4 linked regions of the Canis lupus familiaris genome follow. The protein of the gene in region 2 interacts with the protein of the main gene of each other region in a pairwise test. Links are inferred from orthologs where the notes say so. Each region holds a gene or a part of one and is shown on either strand. Other genes may lie near its edges.

Evidence for each region.
Region 1: the proteins of TACC1 (region 2) and SH2D4A interact in binary tests that used the Homo sapiens proteins (3 or more experiments, as listed by UniProt). The two-hybrid records come from large-scale screens. The link is inferred for Canis lupus familiaris from reciprocal best matches to the Homo sapiens genes TACC1 and SH2D4A.
Region 3: the proteins of TACC1 (region 2) and SNRPG interact in binary tests that used the Homo sapiens proteins (3 or more experiments, as listed by UniProt). The link is inferred for Canis lupus familiaris from reciprocal best matches to the Homo sapiens genes TACC1 and SNRPG.
Region 4: the proteins of TACC1 (region 2) and CKAP5 interact in binary tests that used the Homo sapiens proteins (3 or more experiments, as listed by UniProt). The link is inferred for Canis lupus familiaris from reciprocal best matches to the Homo sapiens genes TACC1 and CKAP5.

What each region holds. Positions count from the first base shown.
Region 1 is NC_049237.1:22,874,074-22,878,230, reverse strand, and holds the start of SH2D4A (SH2 domain-containing protein 4A), read right to left. Parts: upstream 2,807-4,157; 5' UTR 2,479-2,806; intron 2,469-2,478; exon of another isoform or gene 2,315-2,468; intron 2,174-2,314; coding exon of another isoform or gene 1,467-2,173; intron 1-1,466. Other genes in the region: collagen alpha-2(I) chain-like, read left to right, coding at 1,467-2,173. UniProt on the Homo sapiens protein: Inhibits estrogen-induced cell proliferation by competing with PLCG for binding to ESR1, blocking the effect of estrogen on PLCG and repressing estrogen-induced proliferation. May play a role in T-cell development and function.
Region 2 is NC_049237.1:27,534,273-27,538,303, forward strand, and holds the start of TACC1 (transforming acidic coiled-coil-containing protein 1), read right to left. Parts: upstream 2,802-4,031; 5' UTR 2,434-2,801; intron 1-2,433. UniProt on the Homo sapiens protein: Involved in transcription regulation induced by nuclear receptors, including in T3 thyroid hormone and all-trans retinoic acid pathways. Might promote the nuclear localization of the receptors.
Region 3 is NC_049231.1:70,135,039-70,138,993, reverse strand, and holds the start of SNRPG (small nuclear ribonucleoprotein G), read left to right. Parts: upstream 1-1,149; 5' UTR 1,150-1,201; coding exon 1,202-1,233; intron 1,234-3,955. UniProt on the Homo sapiens protein: Plays a role in pre-mRNA splicing as a core component of the spliceosomal U1, U2, U4 and U5 small nuclear ribonucleoproteins (snRNPs), the building blocks of the spliceosome.
Region 4 is NC_049239.1:43,098,502-43,102,809, reverse strand, and holds the start of CKAP5 (cytoskeleton-associated protein 5), read right to left. Parts: upstream 2,807-4,308; 5' UTR 2,712-2,806; intron 1-2,711. UniProt on the Homo sapiens protein: Binds to the plus end of microtubules and regulates microtubule dynamics and microtubule organization. Acts as a processive microtubule polymerase. Promotes cytoplasmic microtubule nucleation and elongation. Plays a major role in organizing spindle poles.

The DNA of each region.
Region 1 (4,157 bases), about 4.7 Mb from region 2:
GGTGATCACAGAACACCTAGCAAGGACCCCAGCATGAGCTTCTGAAGAGCTGTGTGCCCTTCAGCTGTCATTTCACTACTTTGTTTTCCCATTCGTGAAATGAGGAACTGCACCATACATCTTTGTAATGTGAAGACTATGTCATAGTCTATGTGAAGTTACAGACACAAGTGGAGGTAGGGTAGAGGAAACAGGAATGAGGAAACTAACCAGGGTTTTTCCCACTTTCAGTCCCTGAAAGGACAACCACTGACACTGATTCAAACTTTGAATGACTTTCCTCATCTAACACACTTGAGAGCAGCAAACTTCCAGTTATTCAAGATCCAATAAAAAGAAAAGCTAAGCTAACTCAGTTTTCTTCTCATATAGCACTTTACTTAAAAAAGGAAATGACAAGCAACAAGCCCAAATCTGCTATTTATTCCAAAACTAAATTTCTAAAGGGTGATAGGATCAGTTGTTTTCCAGGATAACATACATTTGGCCTGACTCTCACATCATCCATAGCCCTGTTCGACAAAATAAAAATTGTGTTTCTCATGATTCTAAGACCTTGGGGGGGGGGGGCAGGTAGATAAAGCCTAAATTATAGCAGTAATGTAATATGGACAGTAAAACTTTAATGGTAAGAATATAATTTAGAGCACCTGTGTGGTTCAGTCAGTTAAACATCCCATTCTTGGTTTGGCTCAAGTCAGGATCTCAGGGTAGTGGGATTGAGTCCTGCCTTTGGCTTGGCACTGACCATGGAGTCTGTCCCTGTCCCCCCTTTCCTCCCCCTACTGCCTCTCTCGCTCTCAAATAAATAAATAAATAATAAATAAATACAATCTTTTAAGAAAATGAATATAGTTTGAATATAGTTTGAATTGTACTTCTTTTAAAATGGCTGGCTATTTTCAGATTTTCATTTATCTTATTCAACTTCACTTAATAGAGTTTATCTGCAAAAGGGCTATTTTTTTTCTAAAGATTTTATTTGTTTATTCATGAGAGACAGAGACAGAGAGAGAGACACGTAGGCAGAGGGAGAAGCAGGCTTCCTGTGGGGAGCCGGATGAGGGACTCATTGGGGATCAGGACCTAAGTCCAAGGCCGACTCAACCACTGAGCCACCCAGGTGCCCCAAAAGGGCTATTTTTGAGGATAAAATGATTTACCAGAGGTGATAGCAATTTGGTAAGTTTTGTACATATGTGCCATTCTTCAGAAATGTGAAACGACTGTACAGATTTATCTAGGAAATTGCACTCATGGGCCAAATCTACGCCTGCATAGGACTTCCACGTGTTTATTCACTTTCTAAAGCTCCAAGTCGTTAGTATTCCGTCCGCAATCCGAAGCCTCTCAGGCGGGGGCCTGGCTGGCTCTGCGGGTAGGGCATGCGCAATCTTGATTTCCCTGTTCTGAGTTCAGGCGGGTGCTCGTGTTTACTTAAACAAACAAACAAAAAACCCTTTTAGGAGGTGAGGAGACTAAGATTAGAGAGAGGTGCCCTTGCTCCTGCGCCCTGCGCCCTGGGAAGGGAACGATACCGTTAAGGAAGCCTATAAACTGGCACCTGCGCGCGCGGCTCTCGGTGCCCCCGCGAACCCGAGGGCCAGAGCGGGCAGGGGCGGGCAGGGCGCCCACCCGACTGGGAGGACCGAGGCTGGGCTGCCGTCCTGCGGGCGGGCCCCGGGGAGCCGGCTGCCCCGCGGTCCCGGAAGGTCTGGGCGGCGGAGTTCCGCGCGGGCGCGGGCGCGGGCGCTCGTCGGCGGGGGCGGGAGCGCGGTGCCGGGCCGCGGAGGAGGCCCGGACCCACGGCAGGCACAGGCCCCGCGGGTGCTCCGGCGCTCCCGGCTCGCCCACCCCCGCCGGCCGCCTGGGCTTGGTGACGCGCCCGCGCCCCTCCCGGTGCCCCAGAAGTGCTCGCCTTCCCCCTGGGGCCGGCGCCTCCCGCGCCCCCACCCGCACGGTCCCGCGTTCTGCCCCCTGGCCCCGCCGCCCCCCGCACCTACCGGGCGGGGCCCGCGCTCCCCAGCAGGTGGCCCCGGGCCACGCGGCGTCCAGCGGGGCCGAGACGGAGGGAAGGCGGCTCAAACCCTCGGCCTCGCTTGTGCAAACAGTGTCCCTGCGCGCCCGCCCGCCCGCGCTGCCCCACCCGCGGCCCGCGTGCCCCAGCGGCTGACTGGGTGCTCGCGGCCCCACCCGGGCCCCTGGACGCGCTCCAGGCCCAGGCGTCGGCGCGGCCTGCTGCCCCAGGGGACCCCCCAGCCCGGGCACCCGGCCCCGAGCTGCCGCGTGTGGGGGCCAGGCCGCCGCCCCCCACCTGCAGCCCGCCGAGGCCGCCGCGCCCTCTCGGCCGCGGGACGCAGTGGTGTCAGCGGCCCGGGCCTGCTCCGCCGCGGGGCTCAAGGGCTCCTGCAAGCCCGGGCCTGCGGAGGCGGGAGGCCTCGGTCACACGGACAGCCCCAGCAGGCCGAGTCAGCTCACCTCCCGGGTCGCCTCCCGACTCCCGGAGCTTACTCTACCCGCCCCGCCCCCGTTTGTTGACATTAAAGTCATTTATCAGACACTCGGGCACTTGTCAGCACAGGCCACAAAGCTTTGTAGGGCAGAATCAAGGAGGCGAAAGGCTGGAAAGATGCAGGCTGCAAACAACAGACACGGAGGGAAAAATGAAAGAACTCTGGAGAAAGGAAAGAAGGTAAAGGAATCTTGTGAATAGCAGCAAGAACAGGTTGGGGTGGTGCCGGAAGGGAGGAGCTGACGGAGTACAGGAAAGTTGGGCAGAAGCGAGTAGAAACGTTGCAGGGCGTTTTCCATTGTGCAGGAGCGTTGGGAATGTGCGCGGAGAAATAGCCTGCTCTGGGGAACCCCACCCTGCGCATGGTGGGGAGGAGTCAAGAACACTGAGCCTTCTCTAGTCCTCTCCACAGCCCACCTGATACATTCAGGGGTCTGATTGGCTTCCTTCAAAAGTGAAACTTTCTTCTTCCTAACTTCTCTAGACCTCAGAAGTTACTCAAAGTTAGAAAGAGCCTTGGGGGCAGAGAGAAGTCCTTGAGAACCTATTTAGGAACCATTCTAGGGATCGCATCAGGGGAGAATTTCTGGTTTACTTTTGGTTCCCACTGCTTATTAAATGAATGGCCTGTGACTGCATTTGGCTGGATTGTCTCTTGCCCCTGGGTAGCGGCTGTGGCCAGCTGAAAATGAATCCTCCCATTTCATGGATCCAGCAGTTGAAGAACTAACAGGTGGTTCATCAGTCAGTAAAATTTTCCTACAACGGACACTGGTTGCAGCGGATGACCTTCCCCGACGCTCAAGTTCATGTGCTGATAAGTCTTTCTTTATAAGAGTACTCCCACTTGGCCACTAACCTGTCTGTACTTCGGTTTTCCCTTCTGGATAATAACAACGCCTACCTCATGAAGTTGTTGTGAAGGTTAAATGAGATGATATATGTAATGTGCTTAGAATAGTTCGTGGACTGGTGAATGTACAAATACATTAGCTTATACTATTTCACATCACATACTGCAGTTTCAAGTTATAACTTCATACTCAGACCTTGGATTTTGCCTTGTGTGGTACCTAGACTCCATGTTAACCTCAGTGATCCATCCCCACCTCCTCAGTATGTCACTTCTGAGATTAGGTTGTAAAAGACGTGAGCACATGCCTGGCTGGGCATCCAGCACTGGTCTTTGAGGCACGACTGTGAGAACACCAGCCTCAAATTTGTAGTGCACTTTCTGGCCCACCAGCAGCCTGGGTGACTGCTAAGTGTTCTCCATGCAAGCAGTGGGCAGAGCCGCTAACCCTGTGAACAAGATGGGAGATGCTGAAGCAGGCAAGAAGATCTTTATTTAAAAATGTGGGGGCACCTGGGTGGCTCAGTCGGTTAAATGTGCGCCTTCCACTCAGTGGTGATCAGGGTTCTGGGATCCAGCCACACATGGAGCTCCCTGCTCAGTGAGGAGTCTGCTTCTCTCTCTCTCTCTGCCTGCCGCTCCCTCTGCTTGTGCTCTCTCTCTCAAATAAATAAATAAAATCTTCTTTTTTTTTTTTTTTTTTAAATGTACTCAGTGCCACACAGTGGAAAAAAGTGGAAAACACAAGACTGGTCCAAATCCCTGGGCCTTTTGAGATGAAAAACAGGACAA
Region 2 (4,031 bases):
TCTGCCCCTTGCCAGTCCCTGTGCGGGAGGAGGGCAGGCTGCCTGAGATGGCCCACAGCCCCCCTGGGCACCCCGTAGCAGGAGATGATCACTAAGTAGGAGGTGGTGGGAGGGCCGCGTGAGAGCGTAGACAGGGAAGCTAAGAATCCTTCTGTGAATCAACTCCACTCCATAAGCGGTCACTTTCAGCCCAGATGCATTTCTTGTTCCGGGTTAGCAGGTGTTGAAAATTATTTTCAAAACTTTCTTCCAACTGGGCACCCCAACATACGAGTCAGTAAAGGTAGAGCTGCTTTGTTGGAAGTGGGAGGAGGAGGCTCCTGGAACACTCATAGGCTCCTGGTTGAACTCCTTCCCAAAAAGACCCTGTGTCCCTTCTGAAAAGCAACAGTGTCTTCAGGCCACAGTTTGAGAACCATTTTTTTTTTTTTAAGAGAAACAAAGATACATACTACATGAGCCCTGCCCTTAGGGAGTTTGGAGTCCAGGGAGCTGGCAACTGCAGTCCTGCACTGGCTGCCAAGGAAACTCCAATGTCCCTCGTGGAGGGTACAGCACTCTTGCTAGCTCCTGCAGAACCTTGAGGCTTTCAGTTGCATGAGATCCTTCTACATTTATACCACACACTACAGGGACTGGGGAGAGCTTGCTTGTATTGTTCATTTCCTTCAATAAAATAGTCTCTTACAACTAATTTACCTCTCACAATACCTCTGTGAGGTGGGGTTATTGCTATCCCATTTTACAGATGAGAAAACTGAGGATGAGGACATATAACTTATCTAGAGCCACCCAGCCAGGCAATGCTGGAACCAAGATTCAAATCCCGCTCTTCCTGGTTTCAGAGCATGGCAGCTGGGACTCAAAACGGAGGCTACCTCAGTGCAGGTCCCATTTCTGCCATGGACTAGTTGTCCCTCTGGCTTCAGCTTCCTCATCTGTCAATAAGGATGATGCCAATGACACCTACTGCCCTTAGAACAGTGCCTGGCACCCAGCCAGCGCTCGGTAAGAGTTGGCTGCTGTCTTGGGATCACCAACTAATAGGTTCTGATAAGTTTGCTCAGTTCACCCTCTCATTTATCTGGCCCGTTAAAGAAGAGCACAATGTACTATGTGTGTGGCTAAGGAGCGCTGTGTGTGGTACAGGGATGTAAAAGCCATAGGAGTTCAAATGAAGGGCATAGAAGTGCTTCATTTATGACTGCTTCATAAATTTTTGAGTATTCCTTGTGCAGAAGCCATGTGGAGTTCTCGATGTCCGTCCATGTCAGCATGTATGGCACCAAGCCTAGCCTTCCAGCCCCGGACTGACGAGCGCGTCCCCAGCAGAGCTAAGGGCCTCCTGGGTGGATGGGAACCTCTGCCACCGTCACCTGTGTCTCAAACTCCATGAATGCACAGCCCTGGTGCTCCAGGGCCCTGGGGGTCTGTGCCACATCCCCATACCTGGAGGGACAGCTGCAGAGTGTGACCACCTTGGGGGTGAAGGGGAGCAGCAGAGCATAGGGTCCTGGTTGCAGCACTTCACTCATTTCTCTGTCAATCTGTCCAGAGTTCAAGGTACAATGAACGCTCCTTGACTTCCAGGGACTCAGACAACACCACAAAATACACACACACACACACACACACACACACACACACACAAAACAGAAATCAAGGAACTCTCAGAGTCCTCCCACGACATTTTCCATACCAGAACCCAAACAAAACATGTGCTTCCAGGAGCCGGAGAGTTCAAGCTCAATTGGGAAGGAGAGGGAGAGAGAAGACATCTGACCTTCTTGCCTGAGAGTCCGCCTACCCGGCCAGCACACGCACCCACCCGGCCAGCACACGCGCCCCCCCACCGGCCAGCACACGCCCCCCCCCACCCCCCCGCCCAGCACACGCGCCCACCCGGCCAGCACACGCACGCAACGGGCAGCACACGTGCGCACCCAGCCAGCACACGCACGCACAAAGCAGCACACGCACGCACCGGGCAGCACATGCGCGCCCCCAGCCAGCACACGCACGCACCGGGCAGCACACGCGCGCACCCAGCCAGCACACGCACGCACCGGGCAGCACACGCGCGCACCCAGCCAGCACACGCACGCACCGGGCAGCACACACACGCACCGGGCAGCACACGCACCCACCCAGCCAGCACACGCACGCACCGGGCAGCACACACACGCACCGGGCAGCACACGCGCGCACCCAGCCAGCACACGCACGCACCGGGCAGCACACGCACGCACCCAGCCAGCACACGCGCGCATCCAGCCAGCACACGCACCCACCCAGCCAGCACACGCGCGCACCCAGCACAGCACCCACGGGCAGAGCCCTCACAGCCCAAGGCTTAAAGGGCAAGCGCCTCCTGGTGCTCAGTGACTGTCCAACGACCGCAAGAACGTCCAGCTCCCTCTGCCCGGTTCCTACCTCTGGGGCCAGGGTCCCCGTGGTCTCTCTCCACCTCTGGCCCCACCTGCTACGGCAGCTCCATCATCCCTCCCGGGGAAGCGGCTCCGTCCCTGCTCCCCGGAGCCCACGCCGCTGCTCAGGGAGGGGTTCCGCGGAAGGAAGGCGAGGGCGGGCCCTGAGGTCACTGGCCTGGGAAGGGGATGGTCTCCCAACCAAGCACTCGGTCAGAGGGAAAAGGATGTTTTGTCATTTTTGGCTTGAACTTCCAGAGGCAGAACAGGAAATGTCCACGGGGGCTGGGAGCTCGGGGAGACGGGCCCGCGTCTCCCTCCAGCGCCGGCCTTCCGTGGGCTCTCCCCGCCGCGCCCCGTCGGCAGCTTCAAGCTCCGTCTGGACTCTGGTTTCCGCTGATGCTTTCCTTTAGCACATTTTTTAAAAAAATATTTTTTTGTTCTTAATGGAACGTCAGCTTCGTTCCTGACATGCTGGAAAATTTTTCCTCTGCCTCAACTTGGCTCAGGAACAACTTCTCCTTGTGAGAAAATTTCTCCTGTTACAACGTTCAGCTTTTTTTTTCCTTCTTCTTTTTTTTTTTTTTTTAAGAAAAAAGGACGCCTGGATGGCTCAGTGGTTGAGCCTCTGCCTTTGGCTCAGGGTGGATCCCAGGGTCCTGGGATCAAGTCCCACATCTGGCTCCCTGCAAGGATCCTGCTTCTCCCTCTGCCTGTGTCTCTACCTCTCTCTGTGTCCCTCATGAATAAATTAATAAAATCTTTTTTTTAAAAGCTATTTATTTTGCCAAGCTTTGTTCTAGGGACATTTTTGATAGATTTTTTTTTTTTCCATCTGAACCTCTGGATTTCAAGAACTATACACACCCATATTTCTCTTGACTGTTTTCCCCCTCTCTTCTAATGGAAAAACAACAACAGTAATAACTGGTAAAAGATTACAGTGAAACTGTCCTTAAACTCTGGTCTAGGTCAGCCTTGTCCCTGCTCACATCTCCACTCACAGTGCAGGGTGCAAGGAGTGTGGTAAAGAGCGGGAAGGCTGGTCTTCAAAGCCCTCACTTAGTTCTAGGTCTTTCTATGATGGTGACACAGGCACGGCTACCTTTCCCAAGAGAGTCTGGTTGCACATAACAAACCGTGTCCTCAGCCCCTCAGGGATGGGGCTGCAAGTGTGCTGGTTGTGATTCTTGGAGGCCGTGGGTGGGGGTGCATTGGGGTGAGAAGCCATTGTAAGATTCAGCTGTTGGTAATCACCCAGAGGGTGGCACATCTGTGAATTGTCAAATGCCACCACAAATTGGGAACCTTTAGAGTCTTGTTGACTCTTGCAATAAAACTCAGTAGTTCTCACAGTGCTAATTGGGGATTTGCTCACAAACAGGAAATGAGGACATCCCCTCTGCTCTGTTTATTAAAAGAAGGGGAGTAATAAACAAATTAATAGTGTAAGCAAGATAAGAATAATTTGGGGGGAGCCAGTTCATGAGGTTAGAAAATTTCAAATGTTCTAGAACTCTCCTTCATTTATAAAAATAATACATAGGCTGAGGGTAGCAATTTTTAGATTTTTGAGTTGATGTATTAATCACATATTGTTATCCA
Region 3 (3,955 bases), on a different chromosome or scaffold from region 2:
GTCAAAGGAGAAAAAGTAGGCAACTCAAGGGTGGGCTGTGATCCCTTTAAAGCAGAAGAGGGGCAACCCCCCACCCCATTACCAAATGCCACCCTTGCCCCAGGACCTTTGCAGCAAGCCGTGTTCCTGCCCCAGCTCTAGCACCTTTTCATTTTGATAAAGACCTTACTGTCTTTTTACCAACTTAGTACTTGAAATGATGATATAGCCTGCGTTGGGTGTCTCAAGTCTGTGATCTATTTTCCTAGTGGTTCAGTTTTAAAAAATAAATAAGGTTTAGTTTTTTCCTCCACTACGGCGTCTCTCGTATGCGAGCAGTGAATCTACAACTTTCTTAGGATGCTTCTCTTTGTAATGTGTAAAATAAGTGTCTGAAGACGTCGTGAAGAGTAAAAACTCGCTGTGATTCAGACGCGGGACTGGTTCATTGTAAATGGGGGAAAACAGGACAAGCTAAGGCCCTGGGACTCGGAGTCCATTAATGTAAAAATAACCGTGGGAAGGCTAAACCATCCATTTCGGGACCGTAGCTGCTTGTAAGCAGCGAGAGGTGGGAAGTTGGGCAAATGCCACCTGTAGGATTTTGAGTGCTAGAATGAGGCTCAGTCTTTTATTCGTATTTAAATAGAGCCATTCCTGGACATTAGGGAGGAACTGAATTTTGGAGAATCATCCTCTACTCAGAATCACCGAGGCCTAAGTCTTTTTTTTTTTTTTTTTTTTTTTTAAGATTTTATTTATTAACGAGAGACACAGGCAGAAGGGAGGAGCAGAGCGCCCGATGCGGGGGCACCGCAGGCTGATCGACCTTGGCAGGACCAGAGCCCAGCCCTCCCGAGCGCGTGCGCACTGGGCACGTGCGAGGACGCTAACCCGCGCAGGTCGCAAAGCGAGGGATCCGCCAGCTGCGCCGACGACTTAGAGACCCAGCCCTTACGTCAGTTTCACCAATCAGGAAACGGAATTGAGGAGGCGACCGGAAGTCCCACCCCATGTAGCCCCATGCAGGCCAATCGCTGGCAACGCAACCGGAAACTCGCGGGCGTTCGGCAAGTCCGGGGGCGCCCTCAAAGTATCGCGGGAGGGAATGTGACCTCTGCCGGCGTTTGATTGGCGGCGGGGGCCGGTGACGTCAGGCGCCAAGCGGCGGGAGCGTGAGGGAGCCGTGTGGAGGCCTCTGCGAGCTCGCCGAGTCGGCGCCATGAGCAAGGCTCACCCTCCCGAGCTGAAAAAGTGAGTACGCGGGAGGGCCGCGTGCGGGTGGCGGCGTCCGTGCGCCGGGGCCCCGCTCGGGGGGCGGCAGAGCGGCTCCGCGGGGCGCGAGGACGGGGCGGGGCGGCGGTTTCCTTGAGCTCTGTTCTCGGAATCTCCCTCCGGGGCGCCCGGGGGCCCAGCGGGGTTAGCGCCGCCCGCGGCCCAGGGCGTGACCCGGGGTCACGGGTTCGAGGCCCGCGTCGGGCTCCCTGCGTGGAGCCTGCTCCTCCCTCCGCCCGGGTCTCTGCGCCTCTCTCTCTCTCTCTGTGTCTCTCTGTCTCTCTCTCTCTCTCTGGGTCTCTCATGAATAGATGAAAATTTAAAAAAAATAAATTTTTTTTTGATCTTGTGCAGAAGTTAAGACTTGGATGTCACGTGATCTGTTAACAGCGCTGTGGGGGAACGTTCATTTTTTTCTTTTTTTTTAATCCAAGAAAAGTAAGTTTTTTTCTTTTTTCCTGCATCCAGTAAAAATCCCCTCAAAACCGGATGTTCCTACTTGCGTGGGCCCGGGCTCGGGGACGCTGGGCCGAGCGTGTGCAGGGCCTCCCGAGTGCCTCCGTCTCGTGTCCGCCGCGCAGTCCCAGGATTTCTGCACGTGGTAGCGCAGAACAGGAGAACGGGACCCGGGGGTCGCTTTGTGAAACAGCCGTCCGCCCTGTGCGTGGGTCACGTCCTGCCAGCCTCGTGGAGGAGTCAGACTGCAAGAAAAAGCCGTATTTAGTAATTGTGCTTTTTTTTTTTTTTTTTAAGATTTTTTTTATTATTTATTTGAGACACAGGCAGAGGGAGAAGCGGGCTCCATGCAGGGAGCCCGACGCAGGACTCGATCCCAGAACCTTGGGGTCACGACCTGAGCCAAAGGCAGCCGCACAACCGCTGAGCCCCACCCCCCCCCACCCCCGGGCTGCCCAGGAAATTGTGCATTTAGGGGCGCCTTGGTGGTCAGTCGGTTAAGGGTCCCACTCTTGGTTTCAGCCCAGATCCTGATCTGCTGGTGAGATCAGCCCCGGTGGGCTCTGGGCTCAGCGTGGAGTCGGCTTGGTGTGTCTCCTCCTTCTCTGCCCCCTCCCCACTGCTCGCCTGCTCGCTCGCACGCGCACTCTCTCTCTCTCTCTGGTTCTCGCTCTCAAGTAAATCTTTTAAAGAAAAAAAATAGTTTTACATTGAAATGCATATTTGTATCAAAGCCATTTTTTGTGCAAGAACTCCGTGTATTTTAGCTGGGTCTGTTGAAGTGTTCATCGTGAGCCCGACGTTAAGAAAAATACAACTTATTTTGGAGTTCTGTCTAAAACTCTCTTTCCTTGACGACTTGGCAAAACCTTAGAAGTATTCTCTGGGTTCTTCACGAACTGGTGAGATGCTAATTATTTTTAGCAAAAGAACCATCCTCTACTTGTAATCTTAGATTACCTTTTTCATTTCTTAACAGGTGCTTTTGTTTCTTAACAGATATTTGAGAATTTCACAGGATGAAACTGGTTTTAATAATTTCTCTCATCTCTCGATCTCATGTACTTTGAGACCATCCTCCAAAATGACCTTCAATTTTTTTTCTCTTTTATTTCTTCACAGATATTTTCTACTCTTTTATGCCCTCCTCCTGGTTTAGCTTAATTCAGTGGTTCTTAACTGTGGGGTAGGGAGCCTGTTTCTACTGGCAGGCCGCTAGTGAGTAGAAGCTAGAGATGCTGCTGAACATTGTACAACGCGCTGGACATCACTCAACAGAGTTACCTGGCCCCAGATGTTACTAGGCCGGGGTGGAGATACTGAGACCTAACCAAATTCTCCATCCCACTTCCTAAAAATCACTGCCATGGTGGTATTGCCAATGACTGGACTCTGCTTTAATAATTTATGACTATCTGAACAGTAAAGTGTAGACTTGTTGGCACGGCGTTCAGGCTCTTCCATCTGAAATGCAAGGTGCCAAATATGACACACACTAGTGTGGAGTATCCCATTCTACAGCCAAAATGAACCATTTGCATTTGCTCAAACTTTCTTACTATGTGACTTTAGAAAATCTTTCTGACCCTTGGTTCCTCATCTGTAAAATAGTGATAATAACAAGATCTCACTTAGGGCTAAATAAGTTCATATGTGTTCTATTTGCTGTCTTTTATATATATCCTATTAAATTATTTTATATATACTACAACGTATTTTGGGGTGTTTTTTTTTTAAGGTTTCATTTATTAGAGAGCATGTGAGGGGAGGAACAGAGGGAGAGGGACAAGCAGACTCTGCACTGAGCATGGAGCCCTACTTGAGGCTCCATCTCACAACCCAAGATCATGACCTAAGCCAAAACTCAGGTGCTCAAAGGAGGCGCCACCCAGGTGCCCCAGGCCTGTGTCTTAACTTACCTTTGAATTCTCTCATACATTAAAATTGCATGAAATTTCAGGGGTGCTTGAATGGCTCGGTTGGTTAGGTGTCCAACTCTTGGTGTCAGCTCAGATCATGATCTCATGGGTGGTGAGATGGAGCCCCCTGTGGGTCTCCACGCTCATCAAGGAGTCTGCTTGATAGTCTCTCTCTTTGCCCCTACCCCACTTTTGCAAGTGCTCTCTCAAATTTTTTTTAAAGATTTTTGTTTATTTATTTGAGAGAACATGAGCAGGGAGAGGGGTAGAGGGAGAAGCAGACTCCCTACTGAGCAGGGAGCCCTTTGTGAGACTCAATCCCAGGA
Region 4 (4,308 bases), on a different chromosome or scaffold from region 2:
CTCTAACACTGCCCATCAGGAGTCCATCAATGGTAAGTAGATTAAGATCTCAATTTTAGGCTCCCCCAGAGTCTCCCCCAAAGTCACAGCAGTCCAGTAACTACTGTATTTTGAACCACTCCATCTTCCTTCCAAATACCACCATGTCCTATCATTCATATTTTTTCATGGCTCTGCTAAAAGTATTAAAAAAGCTGGTGTGCGGGGGAGGCGCCTGGGATGGCTCAATTGGTTAAGTCTCCAACTCTTGGTTTCGGGTTCTGAGATCAAGCCCGGCAACAGGCTCTGCATTCATTGTGGAGTCTGCTTGAGATTCTTTGGGGCCCCTACATGGCTCAGTCAGTTAAGAGTCTGCTTTCAGCTCAAGGTCATGATCCTGGGATCAAGCCCCACATCAGGAGAGCAGGGAGCCTGCCTCTCCCTTTCCCTCTGCCTGCCATTCTGCCTACCTGTGCCCTCTGTGTATAAATACACAAAATCTTTTATAAAGAGTAAATAAATAAGTAAATAAATAAATAAATAAAATAAAATATTTTAAAAAGGAGAGGGGAGGGTATTCTACCCAGAAATTGCTCCTGAATTCTCCCTAATGTATCTCATTACTTCATGTAGTACAACCATAGGTCAAAAGCAAAGGCCCTGGAGAAAGACTAACTTGGGTTCAAATTCAGATTCTATCAGTTGCATGATCTTGAACAAGTTGCATAACCTTTCTGAGTTTCCTCATCTATAAAAAACTGTGAGGATTAAAAGAGATAAAATGTGGCACCCAGTAACAATTCAATAAATGTTAGCTACTGCTAATAAAAGTATTTGAGTATTTTGTTCAAGGACCAGAGCTGGGCCAGAGGGATTATAGAAAATACAATTTGCTACAGCAAATTGTTTGAGAGATAAAACTGTCAAACTCCCTTAGGTCAGAAGCTTTGTCTTTTTCTGGTTCACTGGTGTATTCCCAGAATCCAGAACAGTGTTTAACACACAGTAGGCATCAATCTCAGTATGTGTTGAATGAATCAATGAATGAGATGAATGAGACTCCATTAAGTCAAAGGAGCATAAGAGAGCCTGGCTTTACTTCAAAATAAAGTTTTCATTCCACATCAAGATTTTAAACAATATCCTAAGGCCTCGTTAGAGATGTATTTATTATTTCTAATTGCCTCTTCGAAATCTAGAACACTGTTCGTAATATTAAGGTACTCAAATTTATTGCAATTAAAAAGCTCTGCTGCTAAAATTGAGCTGTCAGTTGTAGGCCACACTACTGTTCATAATTCAAAGCTGATGATCAAAACGTTAAAAGTAATAAAGAAGGTATATGAATTGTTATGGAATACCCTGCTTACCTCTGACTGCTCTCCAGTGAACAGACTTGGAAAACTTGTGTAAAATTTTCTTCTCACAAGTTGACTAAGTTTAATTTATGCCATTATTTATGGCAAAATAAATTGATCTCACCTCCTCTGTATCATTAAATTTTATGAAAACAACATGAGAGTCTGTTCAGTCACTTATGAAAGGCCCAAATCTTTTTTAGACTTAATAAATTTCCAAAGATTGTTAGCTTAATATATCGGCTCTTTAGGTCAAAGAAGGACTTTTCAGGGTGATGAAAATGGAGACAGAAGTTCACCTCTCTAAAAATGAGTTTTCAATTACTATAATTATGCATAAAATAAGACAGGCAGCATTTCTGGGCCAAGATCTGATGCCTTAGTTCCCCGTGAGATTTAGAGCCAAGCATAAAATTTGGGGCAAGTTCTGCAAAAAAAAAAAAAAAAAAAAGAACAACCCACTTTACCCTCTATTGATGCTGAATGAAACACTCATTGTTAGGATTCATCAAAACGAATATGTTTTCTAACACACAGTAAGCCACTCGGGCAACATCGCTTTCAGCATTTTTCTATCCCAGCAACAGAACGGGATGCGTTTAAATCCCGACAGTTACCAGGACTGCAGGGTAGCTAACTCAACCGCCTAATAGTGGTAAGGGCTGAAAAAGTAAAAACCGAGTTTACCGAATCATAAAGTAGCAGGGCCTACTTAGTTAAGATAACCTACGCTGGTGGCTATTGTATAGGTCCTCCAAACCTCCAGAGCTGGAAAGACACCTGAACTACTGACACCTTCTGAGAGAGGAAGCCAGGCGCGAGGGCGGCGCGGTCTGATCGGAATTGTTAAAACCGCAGCCGGCCGGCGGGGACACAGGTGCGCGGGCAGGCCCCGGCACCGCAGTCCTTGTCACGCTCCGAGACGACCCGGCCCTTCACCGCCGCGACAGCCCTCCTGGGTTCTTATTCACTCATTCATTCATTTGACAATTACGCGAGGGGCACCGTAGCAGGGCCGGCTCGCAGGGCCCCCGCCCGCCCCAGCCCCGGAACACCCACAGCCGCCAGGCGCGGCCCTGCACCGCCCGCATTCCCCCGCCGCCGCCGCCGCCGCCGCCGCCGCCACCCCGCCGCGGCGCGCTCGGGTCCCCGGATGCCGGCCTCGGCTGCACGCGAGCGCCCACGCCCCCGCCCTCCCAGCCGCGGGTCCGCCGGCCTCCGCCCCGCTTCGCCGCCTCAGATCCGCCGGGTTCGTGCGGCGAGGGAGGGGCGCGTCCGCGGAGGCTCCCCCGCCCGGGGCTCAACACCCCTCGGCGCGCGCGACGCCCGGACCCGAGGGCCTGGGTGGGTGGGTCGGGCCCACCGGCCACTCACCTCCGCCGGGTCAGAACCGAGGGGCCTGCTCTAAGCCGTTTGAAACCGCTTGGGCCGCCGCACACCCCGCAGTGTCCTCGTCGTTTATTGGTTCCCGACGGACCGCCCATCGCCCGCTTATTGGTCCGTTTGAAAGGCCTGTGGGCACGCGCCGCCCGCAGCTTTAAAGGGGCCGCGCGCAGCCGTGTTTCCTTCGGAACCGGCGCTGCCTGGTGGGGTGGGGATGTGGGGTCGCTAGAGCGAAAGCTGCCGACGACCCTGCACCCCCCTACCCCCCCCTCCCCGAGAGAAGGGCGAAAGCTGTGTGGAGAGCTGTGCATCCCCGGCCATCAGCATGCTTGCTTTTTTTAAATTTTGGCCATTCGAGCTACTGTCAACACCTGGCAATTTTTTAAAAAGTCATTTCATTCACCAAATACCGATTGTGTAGCTAAGTACGCGAGGGGAACGAGAGGCAGCTGGGATATCGTGGAAGGAGCAGTGAATGGAGCCAGGATGCTGGATTCTGGTCTTGGACCCGCTCTAAGCAGACCACTTTCCCAGTAAATTATTTGTAGCTCAGTTTCCTCAAAATAGGATGACAATGTTTCTCTTACAAGCCTAGGGTGAGGATTTAATATAACCAATTGGCTGTCTAGGAAAGGCCTTTGAACAGTAAGTGTTCTGCAAAAGCCTAACTAATATTCCTGTTTCTCTTAGAAATGATAGGCTTGGTTAATGTGATTTCTGAAAGTCTTGTTTAGCTCTAAAAATAAAATCTTTAAGAAAGGGTGGTGGTGCTGGCGCCTGGTAGACTCAGAAGATGGAACTTGCAACTCTTGATCTCAGGGTTGTATGTTCCAGCCCCAGGTTGGGTGTAGAGATTACATAAAAATAAAATCTTAAAAAAAAAAAGAAGTAAAATGTGATAATCTCTAGCCCAATAATGCCACTGTTAAGAACCTGTCCTACAGATCTATGCACGTATGCAAAGAAAAATGTCGAAAGATATTCACTCAGCAATTCTTAAGATATGGGAGAAAAAACACCCCACAAACAAAAAAACCCAAACCCTAGAAATTACAATGTCCATTCATAGAGAACTTGTTACATAAATTACAGTATATCCACTCAATAGAACACTATGTAACTGTTAAAAAGAATCTGTTTATTCTGTACGTGCTGGTGTAGAAAAATGCACAAATTTTATTTAATTGAAAAAAGGCAAGTTGCAGAAAAGCATATATGGAATGATTTTATTGTATATGGTTATAAATGCATATGTATTTTGTGTGCATGCCTGAAAATGGTTAGAACATTGCTGGAATTTCAAGAAATTATTTAGCAAGGAGAGTAGATAGGGAAATGAATTTTTTTGCCTTTGACATGTTAATTTAAATATATATATATATATATATATATATATATATATATATATATATGTAGCAGGGAGAATATCTAGCAGTGGGAAAAGTAAGAGTAAGGGCACAGAAACAAAGTACAATTATATGTAGGGAATTGAACATGTGAGTTTGATTTTTAAAAGGGGTTCATGTTGGGAAGTAGTAGGATACAAAACTGACAGAGAAAGGCAGATTCTAGGAGGGTCTTGAATACT